Drosophila melanogaster: one gene and its partners. The protein of the gene in region 1 purifies or fractionates together with the protein of each later gene. This does not show direct contact. Each region holds a gene or a part of one and is shown in the gene's direction. Other genes may lie near its edges.

What was found.
Region 2: the proteins of spz5 (region 1) and kek2 purify together in Drosophila melanogaster (affinity purification with western blotting, with the first as the bait; one study listed by BioGRID). This does not show direct contact.
Region 3: the proteins of spz5 (region 1) and kek5 purify together in Drosophila melanogaster (affinity purification with western blotting, with the first as the bait; one study listed by BioGRID). This does not show direct contact.

The regions. Positions count from the first base shown.
Region 1 is NT_037436.4:2,889,100-2,894,212, reverse strand, and holds the start of spz5 (spatzle 5), read left to right. Parts: upstream 1-2,046; 5' UTR 2,047-2,346; intron 2,347-4,967; 5' UTR 4,968-5,049; coding exon 5,050-5,112; intron 5,113-5,113. UniProt on the Drosophila melanogaster protein: Neurotrophin which may function as a ligand for the Toll-related receptors Toll-6 and Toll-7. Binds to Toll-7 and Toll-6, and probably acts as their ligands in the promotion of motor axon targeting and neuronal survival in the central nervous system (CNS).
Region 2 is NT_033779.5:11,580,303-11,584,977, forward strand, and holds the start of kek2 (kekkon 2), read left to right. Parts: upstream 1-1,634; 5' UTR 1,635-2,800; intron 2,801-4,675.
Region 3 is NC_004354.4:19,351,525-19,356,234, forward strand, and holds the start of kek5 (kekkon 5), read left to right. Parts: upstream 1-1,656; 5' UTR 1,657-2,129; intron 2,130-4,710.

The DNA.
Region 1 (5,113 bases):
CTATTTTTTAGTCCCTTGAAGATGGTCCAGATAATTAAAAGGTAGTAAAATTAAGATAATTATTAAAAAATTTTCTTAATTATTTGGAGTATTAAAATTGATAATTAGTAAAATTGGTCCGGGTTTTTAATCAACATATAAACAATAAATAAACAAACTTGTGTAATATTACTTAGCTTCTGTCAGCTAGCAATCGAAGATCACAACCAAAAGGCGAAACGACCGAGTTTTTCTAGCGTTTTCGAGGCGGTTCCGATACGTTTCTTGGTTTAGAGGAGATACTTCATAAAATAGGCCGATCTTTAAGCGGATCGACCCTAAGCACCTTTAGCCATTACGTCACGGGCAGCGGGTGATGTTCGGCGAGCTAGTGGGCCAAAAATAATGGAAAAGAGGTACAAATTGCCCAGGGCAATCGACGGCTTTAATGGTTTCATTGGCCAACCGGCGGCATTGAGTTGGTGGACCCAGCCCCTAATTAACCCTTTCGCAATTGCAGCTAAGCCTTAAAACGGCGGTGGGAAGTTGGGGGAGTGGCCCCTCCACGTGTTATATACATATGTAGCCGCGATAGTTTTAGGTATAAAATGATACCTTTGGTCCCGATACCTTGGGCTCGGAGTTTGATTAATGAGCGGCTTAAGTGAATCTCAAATCGAATCTGAGCCTGCTCGGCCGGCAGACTGATGAAGTCACTAATTTGACTTAAAAACGCATTAAAAACCATTTTCGATAAGAGCTTGGAGCCCCATATTGTGATTTCGGCGAGGGTTTTCCCGTACTTTTCTGTCTAGGTCTCGTCTTTGTGAAAGTTGTGCAAAATTGGAGCCAAGAAACCAAAATTGAACGATGAAGCACCCAAGGCGACGGATAAAATTCCAAAACCGCCTCGGAAGATTTGAGAGTGCAAATCTCTTGCTATTGGCAATCAGCTGTAAACATAAATAATGTTCGAGTTTGCGGAGAGTGGACTAACTGGATACCCAGTGAGTAAATCATGTAACCATACTCATTTTTATCACTAATTATCGAATTTAAATAATTCATTTCATTTTCTGAAAATCTTGAAAATCTTACTAGATATATTTCGGTCTATTTGGCTTATACTTTGAACCATAAAAATAATTTAGGCCTTTGATAGTTTAAAACTATTTTACGGTATACATCTCTTTCAACCTTTTTAAAAATTAAATTTATTTGTTTTTTTCTAATTATGTACACACATATTGCATATTCAATACTTTAAAATAAATTGACAGAGAAATTACTGCTCAGCGCTTTCTTCTTGGTTAAAAAGTATTGTAAATATTTATTAGGAATGAAAAAAAAAAAAATAATTCCCAATATACCTGTGCTGAAATATTACCCATAATTCCAGCTTTGGCAACGCGCAAAATTGATTTAAATGCCTTCGACGAGAGACAAAATCGGAGGTAACTCCTACAATTGTGCGTGGTCTTGGCCATTAAAAGCCTTTTCTTGCCAACATTCAATGTCTGTGCCGGAGGCAGCGCCAAATCAAATCAACGGCAGCAGTCACAAATCTGCGACAGATAAAAGCTGTTAACTGACCTTCATTGGCCATAAAAATCCAAATTCATCGCCCGAACAATGCGCCGTATCTATGGGCCAAAACCGGCGGCAACGACGAACAACAATTGGCGAGCAGAAAAATTAACAATTTAAATAAATTCACTTTATTGCAGTTCGCATATTGGCGACAATGTAAAATAAACAATAAAAGTGGTCAATAAATAAGGCCCACGTCATATCGAATGGCCCGAACCACTGGACTTCCGGTCTTGAATCGGGCCAAAAAAGAAAAAGAAAACCGCACCACATATCACATTATACTATGTGGCCAACGACATGAATCACGGGCCAAAAAGTTCAAAGTTGAGCGGGCTAAATTGAGAGATTAGCCTGGGAGATCAGAGCCGGCTATATCTTTTGCTATATAGCTCTGCTCTGACCCAAGCTCTGCTTTTCTCTGCCTCTTTTCCCGAGTTTGCGGCTCTGGGCCGCTGTTAACTTGGCTAAGACCGCTCAGTTGGCTACGAGCTGCCGCCGTGAGCATTGGCAAACGCGTGAAACGGAAAAGACGAAAACGAAATCGAAATCGAAAACCTAAAGTCCAAAAACCGAAATATCCGCGCTCTTCGGTACGTGTTAAGTTTTTTAATTAGTAGAATTTTCAAGTGAGTGTTCGGTGGCAAAAAAAGAGAAAATATTTCACTGAAATACAAAGAGCATAGCTAAGCTCGACAAAAGTGCACATAGTGATCAAAAACATTTGCCAAATACTGTGAAGCAAAAACCCAAACAAATCTACAAGCCGCACACTAGGTGAGTAATTATTAAATTGAATACTTTAATTCCCGCCATAAGTTAATAAATTTCATTGGTTCGTCATCGCAGCTCTGATTTATTATAACGCTTGATTGTTTTCCTTCTTTTTGTATACACTTGTAACCAAAATGTTAGGAAACCAGCAAACACAAATTAAATCAAAGCGATCACAAAACAAAATCCACAAAAAATGCAGACAACACTTTGGGTAAATACAAACAAAATATAATCAAGTGGGGAGAAAAAACCTTGAAAAGTCGTGCTTAATTTCTTAGCTAAATGCAGGCATAAAATATATGTTTAAAAAATTATAATGAAGCTCAGCTATTTGTCTGCCTCCAATCGAATCCATTGTTTTAGTCCCTAAATTAGCTTCAAATAACCCAACCTCTTTGTGAAGGAAAATAATTCAGAGGCTTTGGAAAAAATGCCCGAAGCAGAAGTCTGTCTCTTTGATAGTTTATTTAATGGATAGAAGTAAGGATAGATATTGTGGAAAGTATACAAGTTTACCAATTAAATAAACTAGAGAGCTTAAAACTTTCCTGTGTCAAACACTCGCGTAATAAAAACTTAATAAGCAATCATTATTATTAAATAGCTTTATAATTAATTAGCAGCATTTCGTTTCATTCAGCTCTTTTTTTTAGCCTGCTAATGCTTCAATTAGATGCCAACAAAATATTTTATCCCCTTAAAAAAGTGCCAATCGGGTGAATAAGTGAGAATGTCTGGGCGAGACAAAGATAAAGATCTGACAATCGATCATTACTCAGGCGGGATATAATTAATTAAATATAGATAGATGATTTTGCGGCCAAATCATTCAAATAAATTGAATGGGGCCCAGCGATTTTGAGCACTCAATTTCGAAAATGATGCCGCAGCCAATGGATTAGCCGCTAAAGCTTGGTCAAAGATCTTTAACAATTTCATTAACTTTTGGCCCGTCGGCCTAATGATGTGCAAATGGCCCAAAACACACCATAAAACACGCTGCCACTAAAGTTGCCAAGGGAAACAATGCCAAAACCCATGTCCAACTTCTTTTGGCTGCTCTGTGATTTATGAGGTGATCGCCTGGCGCAACTTTGGCATCGGGGAAATACCAGCAATACGTGGGTGTAGCCATGTGCAAGACTCCATTAGCAGATCGCAGACACTAAATCTGGCTTCGATGCACAGCAGAAAACATGGTTGGAAACGTGGTTTCAAAATACCTAAGCTATTTTAATCTCAGAGAAATATGTGTTATTATATGTATATATAAAATTGTATAAGCATTTAAAGCCCAGCTCAACTACTAAACAACATTTTGTGTTTCAAACTTCTGTTTGATACTTTAATATGCCGTGAATGTTCATTTATTATAATTGTTTTCTTTATTTTTTCATTTTTAATATTATTAATATAATTATTTCCTGTGTACCTTGACGGACACTTTGTCATTGGCTCTTGTTTGTTGACTGATTTGTTTTGCTTGGCTCGTGCAAAAGAGCCTGTGATCCCGGAAATCCTATCGCAGCTTGTGGCAGGTGTTTTTGTATCGGTATAAATTCCAATTGATTCTTGAATGCTCGCTGTTTTTACAGGCACCCCATGTCTGAGTGTTAAAGGCAATTGTTATTGCTTTTTGTTCTATAAATAATTGTGGTACACATTATATTGAAACTATAGCAAAACTTGACACGAAATCCGGTTTTTACCATTGACTGTGACAGCTTTAGATTTGATCACTTGTTAGCATTGTTACATTATAATAATTAAAATATTTGTATAACATTTTTTGTTAATTTTTAGCTCACTTTCGTTAGTTATGTCAGCTGTTAATTAACATTTAATTACGGGATTTTTAATTTTCCCAGATTTTAAAAGTTGATTTCATACGGGAAACATGTTGGGAATTTTTCTTTGAGCTTCTTGTTCATATAAAAGCATTGCTAACTATCGAAATCTAGTCAAAGTTATCTCATAGTTTCCGCAATAAAAACTGCTTGTATTATTATATATATATTCTCTCCAACAGTTGGTAATATATCACTTTAAATATGCAAAATATCTTGCATTGATCTAAACTTAAATTGTCTATAAAACATCCGATTTAAATACCGGCATATTGAAATTCCGTTTTAGAGTCCTAATAAATCATTAGAGTTTATAAGTATTGTCATTAGCTGACAGCTCGGGTCGCCAATTGAGAACGCCCCCACAATGCATGGGGCGTGTCCAGTCCATTATCTTCGCGGCGTATACTTAATCTGCGTATACTTAATCTTGTTGTCTGGAGCTTGTTCGTCACTTTCACTTTTGGCAATTTATTTTCGCTATTTACGGGAGTTGTTCGAGTTGTTTGGCTGTTGTTTGCTCAAGAGGCTGTCGGTGGTGTAGTTCGTGTTTGTGTTATTGTTTTAGTTGTTGATTGTTTAACTTAACAATAAGCCCAAGTGAACTGTGGGCAACAAATAAGCACTTTGAAGCATTTCCGCTGCGGAAAAACCATCACTTATTGTCTGTTTCGTGTCCCAATGGAAATGGTGCGAGAAATGGTCGTGTATTTGCCATTTTTTTGCGACTAATATTTGACCAAATAACTCATGGCAGTTTCTCTTTCGCTTCAGGTTTCCGAATTCACGTTGAAGACACTGGCTGAATCGCAATCGAGTCAAATGCAAATGCAAATCGACGGCGAATGAATTGACAATGACAAAAAGTATTAAACGTCCGCCCCCCTTTAGTTGTAAACAAGTTCTTCTTACCTATGTGG
Region 2 (4,675 bases), on another chromosome or scaffold:
GGTGCGTATACTTAACGCAGCCTTAATTATTGTACTTCCCGACAAAGGAGAATTTTCGCGGAGGAGGACAAAGATTGTAAGCCAACATTCATAATGTGCAATGGCTCGTTTACTCGGCAAGACGACAATCTTGTCTCCTTGATGCCGGGCCAATGTAAATTTAAATAAAAATGCAGATGAAATCGGAGATACAAACTTAGCTACAAGCTGCCTACGGAATTGATTTGAATGACCAAGGAGGAGCACGCAAAGCAGAGAAAGCCCCGAAGAATAACAATAAACATTTCTATCTGCTTCATTGGTTATTTACTCATTTCGATAGAAGGAGAGGCATCAAACAAGAAAAACAGCGTAAAACGAAAAATTCCCATCTCTGGTTTTATTTCTATTTTTTTTCCAGTTTTGAAATCGCGAAAAGGACTTCGCTTGATGGCATCGAAACTAAAGCAGCCAAATAAGCAACCGCAGGGCAGGGTCTGCTGATTTTCTTCTGTTTTTTCCTTTTTCATACATATATATATATATTTTGTCGAAGACAGAAGCTGCTTATAAAGCAATATACAATTCGGGCAGCCAGGCAACAACAATCGAACCGAATCGATATTTTTCGCTGCTGGCTTTCGCCAACCGCCCACTTCTATATTTTACCCCAAGACTTCTTCTTGGCTTCGGTTCTGGCCAAAATGGATTTTCGGCACCTCCGCAGGGACCCGCTTCGCTCGGTGTCACGGGTATTTGGGCGGGGCTGTGTGTGGGCGGTGGGGAAATGCACTGGCAACTGAAGCCTCCGATTCCGGCCACATATCCCGCCGGCTGAGGACTTCAGCTTGGGAGTTTTCACGCCAGAGTCCGTGGTGAAGTTTTTCCACCCGCTCGGTCAGTCAGCTGCTAGTGTTGAGGTTGGCTTTTCAGGCTGTGCGCTTTGAATTTCCAGAGTGGCGCCGACTCCCTTAACGAGTGCTCTGTTATAACAACTGTGATACTAGGAGAGCATCCCATAGGGGGAAATTATCTGGGAACAGTTTGTATGATTGCTCTTATACTGAAAAGGGCCGGATATAAAATAGAACGGAATAGTGTTCACCAAGAAAGCGGGCAAGGAGATCACAAACAATAACAATAATAAAGATTTATAACTTAAAAATGTTGCCCAGGCATGTATATGTTTAAACAACATATTTTATTTAAATATATTTTATTATTGCATTTTCTTTAATCTCTTCATAACTACTGTATTCTGGTTGCTTCCGTTCAATACGAATATTTCCATTTTATATGTTATATCTATTTTATATGAATTTCTGAATTGTAGGTAAATTTTTATCAAGTTGTATTTAGTATTTATGTTACTTAAGTTGTCATATCAATTGTTAATAGTATGCAATTGACAAGTCCCGTTGATTTGGTTTTTAATAGGCATATAAATCACATTGAAAATATAAATAAGGTAGCTGAGAGACCGGTGAAAGTGGTGGGCGACTTTCCCTTGCGGCTCTTTCTCTTCTACACAATCTCTCGCTCTCTCGGGAGAGAGCGTGTATAACAGTTTGTTTGCCGAGTGAAAAACGAGGCACGAGGACGCTGCCGAGAGAGGAGGCCGAACTCCGCTTGGTTTCCACTTGGCGGAGGCGTCTGCCTGCCTGGAAATCCGTCGAGCGTTGCGGGCGCAGCAGTTGAAAAGCGTACGCCGTGAGCGACAGACACGCCGCAGTCGATCCGTTCGAGTCCGTTCCGCTCCGTTATTTTCGCTCCGAACCGGACGGATCCGTAAACCCGCCCGTGGAGCACTCCGCCGGAATTAGAGCTGCCAAGAGCCAAAGGTCCTGACCAGGTGGTCAACTAATCCGTAGTTAACTCAACTAAACCCGCAGTTAGCTCCTTGGTGCCTGGGTTTCCCTGTTTCTGTGCGTGTGTGTGTGTGTCTGTGTACAGTGGCAAGTGGAAAGAGGCAAGAGTTTGGGAGGGGGCAGCAGTACGTGTCGCCATAAGAATTTTCCGAGTGCGCCGGGTAACGCGAGACGGGAAATTCGGAAAACAACCTGAAATCCATTTGCCGCAATTTGAGAAGCCAGCGACAACAACATGTGTAAACGCTAACGAGCGCGAAAACGCGAACATTTTGATTGATTTTTGATTGACATGCCACTCAGCGCATGCCACCCACCTCGAAAAGTGACAAGAGAAAAATAACAGAGGGGGCAAAGATAAAATAAAACAAACAACAAACTTGAGGAGCACTCGCTGCAACATGTATTCACTACAAAATCAAACAAAATATTGAAACGTTGTAAGCGATTTCGGGTCTAAAAAATAATTGCCTCAAGGGCTGTCAGCGAAAGTGCCAGCGCAAACAGCAAAAAATACATATATATATTCCACAAACAAAATGCAATCAAATCAAGGCCCATAAAAACCGAACAAGGAAAAACCAAGTTGGGCAAAAAATCAAACAAAGTAATAATAAAAATCCACAGCATCAGGCGGCTAATCAACTGCCATATACATATAAAAAAAAAACGCTGAGTTTGGCAACTGTTTTTCTGGCTTCTCGGTTGGATTTCCTACTCCTTTGCTGTGTCAGTGTAGTGGTGTATTTTATTTGTATATGTATGTTTCATGTATATTTGTGCCTGGCTATGAAAAAAGGATAAAATATGCCGACATTGATTTTCTCCTGCGACAACAACAGCACCACCACCGTCAACATCATCGGCTAAACAACAAAAGCAACATCCTTAATAAGAATCGAGGCGAAAAAGTTGCAGGATTCGACGAGGGCAAAGTTTTTCGGACATTTTCGGTATGTTGTTTCTAATTTCTGCACTGTTTTAGTTATTCCGCTTGTTGTACATATAACTCAACAATATTGCTGTCAAAGTTCTGACAGTTTGAACTTTTTATATGCTCGAACTCCTCCTCATCTTAACCCGCATTACGATTTTGGGGTCGAAGGAGCCAAATTCGATATTTGTTATGCGCAAAGTTGCTTGTATAATTCAGTTAAATGCTTGTAAATAAACAAAAGTGTTCGATTTAAAAGAGTTGGCCACGAGAAGTTGGGCATTGTGAGGATTGGCTTCATTGGGGGATTGGCAATGAAGTTCACCAGGAGTTTGGACTTATAAAAGAGTTCCAACAACTTTGGACAGGAGCTCCAAATAATTGAATGGCCAGTATTTGTTTGCAGATACAACCCTTTTGGGAAGTAACCTTCGGCTCTTGTCATTAATTTGTTCAACATTCAATTAAGCTCGTGTAAATTACGGTTGTCAAATGGCTTGCGAACCAGATAAAGCCCCTTTGATAAGGTCATTTAATTACCAAACACACAAAGTACCCTGAAGAAAAACTTGCTGATATTTATTTGAAATGTTTGTGCTGTGGCTTTGGTAAATTTCAAAAAAAGGAAAGGTGCACGAACCACAACAAAGGAACTCGCCATGCCCCCATTTCTAACCTCCCCATCTGCTCGAAATTGGAACCTTTTTTGTGGCAATCGGGGGGTTAAACTGCAAGTATTTCGAAGCAAGTATTTTCGAAAGACGTGTGTTTGTCTCGAAATGAAATGGAATCGAGCAAATGCCGAAGGCAGTGCCTTTTCAACGCTGACGGCGTGCAAATGAGAAAATTCATTATTTAACATTAATTAGGGCTTATTATGCACATTATCAACACAGTGAAGCGAACACGCACACACGTATGCTAACCGCATTAAATGTCAGTCAAAGACTCGACTAAGTAAACACAAGCGTATGTAACTTTACTGTGTGTGTGATTCTGTGGACAACTATCAACCACACCAAGCCACACACACACACACAAATACAGGCTCACGGGCTCACAGCACAGGTGAAAGTTTTACTTTCCACTGAGCCCCCCACACCGAAACCCCCAAAAGGAAAGTCAGGTTCATAACTCAACGCCCATCAGTGGAAAGTGGAGGGGGATGCGCGGTGGGGGTGGCCAGCAAGGAGCAAACAGGAAGCGAAGCGGCAACGAAAAAATACAGGCAACTTATGGAAAATTTCCTGGCTTCAGCTAGACTAAATGCTACCCAGCTATTCCACTTTCCAGTAAAAGTAAAATTAAATTAAACTGTGCGTTTGAGGGAAAATGGTCTTATTTAAAATGTTTTTATTTTAATTGTTTTCATTTTAAATTTTTATATAAATCTGTTCAAATATTTTAAAAATTCTAAACCAATTTGTGCGCCCAAGTTTTTGTGCATCTATAAACTCCACTGCACGCTGACTTCCTGGCCCAATATGCCCAACACGATAGCTTTCACCATCCGCTGGGCGGAAGGTAGGGGGGGAGTGTAAATTATTCAGTAAATTGTTAAGTAAATAACACGAAGGGCGCACGTTAAAAAGCAACCGAAAGACAACAATAACAGCAGCCAGAACACAACAACGTGCACAGACATCAACACCGTCCAACTCCGACCCAACCTTGTCCTTGCGTCTAGGGCCGCCGTGGAAATTTACCTCTCATATATGGATATGGCGGTGGTGATAATGTTGGTGATTCCGGGTCTGATGATAATGATGATGATGATGTTCAGCAACTGAAGCCAAGGCGAATGATGACACGCCGAACAGTTCACGGCTCAGCGGAATTGCCGGCAGCAAATGTACAATAAAATAAACACCAAATGTGGAAAGCTAGCCCCGGG
Region 3 (4,710 bases), on another chromosome or scaffold:
AATGCTGCAATACCAATTGTAACCTATCATGATCGAGCAGCATTTCATTTAGTTTCTGCATTTCAAATCAAAAAAATATACATCTTTTATTTTAAAACTTACACAATCAATTGGCGAAAAAATCGATTGCTCGCCAACACTTCTATTTCCCTATAACAAAAGATGCGTTTTTTAAATAAATAAAAAAACCAGTATTTTTTCTGTAAAAGATTTACTTTGCTTGTTTAAATTTTTTTAATTAGAAATCAAATTAACCAAATTTAAAATTAGGGTGTCCATAATTAGTTGTCGACTTTTACATTTCAAAACATTTTCAAGAAGTGTAGGCGTGGCAGATTTGAGCGATTTGTGGGCGTTAAAGTGGAGGTGCCAACATTACTTGACAACTAACTTGCGCTGCGTATGCCTCTTAAATCTTCAGGTCTAATAAAAAATTAGCTTCACTTTCTGGTATCTCTTATAAATAAATAGGAAATAAAGCTATATTAATATTAAGGCATAATAACAAACATCGAAAACTTCCAAAATTAAGCAATTTAAAGTATCTTTCATTGAAATGTAGTAATAATGCCATTGCTCTTATGCTATTATCAATGTGTACTGGTTTCCCATGATACCTTACTATTTAATTTTATGTAAAGGGAACCTTACATATTTATGTATTGGATTGGAATTGCCACTCGTTTCTCGCAGTGTATCTGGCTGGCTCCACACATGGGCGCGTGTATGCTCTCCCCTTACTGACGTACTTAATTCTTCGCAGTTATTCAGGGGCACAGAGAACGCTTCACTTTCCTTCTTTTTTCGCCGGTGACGTAATTAATGATGCTAGCCGCTGAAATTTTAAAATGAATTGCACTACCAAGCAGCAGCTCCTTTCCATTTTGTTCGACGATCAGAGGTCTTAAAATCAAACTTCTGTCAACTGGCTGATGAATTCATTCAGTTTCTAACGTTCGCGATGGAGCTGAAATTCTTATTTTGTGTTCAACTGATTTTTTGAATACATATGTATATATTTTGTACTGAGCTCTGTTCTTGAGAAGGGAGAATCTATAGTCGAGTATATCGGTTACTTGGCTAATGGAAATGCGAACGCGAAATTTTAACATTTTTCTTAGGTAGATATTATTGGGGAATGAAATAAGAAACTATTTAAAAATTGCTTGGGTAGTTTTTGGCGGCTTGTGAGCGTTAGAGTGGGCGTGGCAAAATGGGTCAACAAACTGGCTCTGCGTCTATGTTTATGTATAGAACATGTATGCTTAATCTCAACATCCTAGCTGTACAATAAGACAAAAAAAAAAAAACACATTTCATTGGCATCAGAATCGTTAAGGGTAAAATTGTCACGACTTTCGTACCATGGTTTTGTTTGATTTGATTATGGTGATAACTAAAATTATTTTTTTTTATTGAAAAAAAATTATTGATTTTAATTTTTTTTGTTTTTGTATACATTCATTAAGTGAAAAATCGCCGTAAATTTGATTTTATAATTCGTTACACACGTTTTGTTTCAGTGCTTTGTTGCTGTTGCAACCCCTCAGCTGACGTTCCAGTCGAACATGTTGCATGACGGCTCGGCTTAGTTCGGTTCGGTTCGCTGCGACTCGGTTCGATGCGGCTCGAGCGGCCTGCTCTCGAACAGATGTGCGTCGCAGTGTTGTTGCAAACGCCGGTCGCGTAGGTTGTTGCTAGAGTGAAACGTCGAGCGCATCGCCCACCCACATACACATATGTACGTACTCGAGTGCGCGAAGCAGTCAGTTGTTGCCGCCAATTGAATGGACAGTCGCGGTTAACGAAACACGAAAAGTCGTCTCGACTCGCCTCGCGTCGCGTGGAGTTCACTTGAGTTGAGTGGCGGCTAGTGTGTGTGTGTTTGCTTTTTTTTTCGAACGCCGCCAAACACGCGGCTGTTGCGGCTGTCCCGGAGTGCATTACTCACACTTTTTTTTCGGTTACTTGCAAGTGATACCCCTTAAACGAAAACAACAACAAGCCCCCCCCACCCACACACCACTTCAACCCCCTCACAAGCAGCTAAAGCCAAAAGGTGATTATATTTGGAAAAGTCACGCCGTGGAGTAAATAACGGAGCGGAGAGCGGATCAACACAAAGCGTGGTAAAGAGAGTGGAGAGATAAAGAGTTAAAATAAGTGCATAGAGTGCGAGTGGGAGAGATAGAGCGAGCGAGCGGGAGGGAGAGTGTAAGTGCTGCCCGTGTGTGAGAGTGTGTGTGTCTGTCTTCATGTACGTATGTGGCTTCTTTCAATGGTAGTCGTGTGTACCCGTTGAACCGGTTCAACACTCATCTTCGACTTACCTGCAAAACAACAGAAGCAGCAATGATAACAACAACAACAACGACAACAGCAGCGACTGCAGCGTGGTTTGTGCTTGGAAAAACATGAAAAACTGAAACTGAAGCAAAATGCAGCATCGCCAGAAGCAGCAGCAACAACAAAACGAGAACAACAACGTGCAGCTGCAGCAATTGTAATGTCAAATGAATCAAACAAACTGCATCATTTGCGTTTCCGAAGGCAGGAAAATAAGGGAAAGGCAAAGAAATGAAGAAAACATACATATTACATATGTATATATAAACATATATATTTAGGTATATATGTACGTATGTACGTAAAGTGCAGTCTGCAGTTTAAAAGCCATTAACCCCCAAAAACTGAAGTAACGAACCATCCGCACGGAGATCGCTGTTTTCCCCACTGAACTAACTTAATTCGTTTAGCCAGAATACACTGATCCCGTTGCAAATTGGTGGCTAATATGCAATATGATATTTAATTTGCAACCATATATTCTGCATATTTCACGCGTGTGTGCGTGAGCGCTGTAGGGTTAATACGAGAGCGCTCACTACCTGCGCGCCCTGCCAAGGGTTAAGCACTCAGGCAAGAAGTTTCGCGTGTAATTGACGTTGCCAAAAATTAAGAAAGAAAGAAAAACAAACAAACAAACGCAGAACAAAACAAAACAAAACAAACCAGTAAGGGAAGAACAAAAGCACGAACAGAAATTAGAAGACAGCGAACAGAAGAGAAACTTAACTTTTTCTCTGTTCTTATTTCAGGTTATATACCCTTGCAGATGGCACATTAAATTCGGTATATCGGAATATCATGATCAGTATTTAGAGTCTAATTAACGGTCCACCTGTCCGTTTGTCTGTCCATTTCCATAAAAAAAAGTCTCAGTTTTATAGCTATTGCATCATGTACATAGCTGTCATAGGAAAAATAAGAAAATTAACTGAAAGTGATAAAATAATCATCGGTTCTTAATCATGAAGTATTGCTCGGTATACAGGTGTTTTGTATTATTACTGCAAGGGTATGTAAGTTTCGGCTTACTTTCTTGTTCGCTTTTTTGTGTGTTTGTCCATGCAGTACAGTTAGCCGCCAGTGGTACTGTCGAAGTGTGCGTGTGTTTCTGCGGGTGCTATTACCTTGGTATTATTGGTAGGTATGTAGGTGCGTGTGTGTGTGTGTGTGTGTGTGAGTTGGTGTTTTTGGCGGAGCACTTTTTGTTTTCATGAATTTATCCTTGGGACGAATAAGAACTGCAGGCGAAAGGAGCGAAAATGTAGCAGGAGGACAGGGGAAATCGGGAAAGCTAAAAACAAACAAAGGGATTAGCAAAGATGCGAATATTGCGGCCCAGAAATTAAGACCACAAGAAAAAGTGCCAATAAGAGTTGTTGGGAAACAATTGGAGGATATACCCACGCCCAAACATTTTTGATGTGTATGCAGTGTATGCATTCGCTTTGAGGAATGCTTCATCTGGTTTCATCAATCTTTTGACGGAAATGGAGTTTATACATATGTATACTATCCTAGAAATGCTATAAATTAAAATAGTGCGCGTTATTTACGGAAAATATAAAATCTGTAGTCAAAATTTATGTTTACTACCCTAAATTTTTATGGGTATTAAATGGTATAATATGATTATGGATCTAATTTTGGGGCGCCTTTTTACTACAAGCCAAATTAAATATGACAGAAATGGAATTTTTCGATTTAGGGATGCGTACGACTATTATGATTTCCTCATGACGAAAATAGATTTTCCACTTCAAAAGACAAATATTCCCTACTCTTTCTACTGAGTAACATAGAAAAGCGGTGCAGAAATCTACACTTAATTTTTGTCTCACAAAACACTTGGATCAAACAGAAACAACAAATTTGGTACCCATACAATATGTACAGTTGCCACAAAAACGATCAAGACCAATTAGAAATGTGTATGTATGTATTTGATTGAAAGCAATTATTAAACAAAATTCACTTAAGTATTGTTTTTTTTTTTATTTTCTACATGAACCATTAATCGAAATGATACTAAAAGGAACATGTGAGACATTTATAAACAAGCACTTGAAGCCATATGTACATACATACATAGCATAGATTAGTCGTCAATCTTATAGATAAAATGTTGTAAAAAACGTTCTGCAATAAATAAGATTTACAATTAAAAACCAAATAAGCACATGAAAGGGATTTTCTTTTCTATGGCTTTGAACATCTCACATCTGTAATATTACATTCAACCCAAGTAAGTGTAATTAAAGATTATCCAAGGAAAGCCTGAATAAGGATTTTAGAAAAATCATAAATAACGTTAAGCAAAAAGTACTTGAAGAGATTTACCTTCAATTTGTTGACAAGACGAGA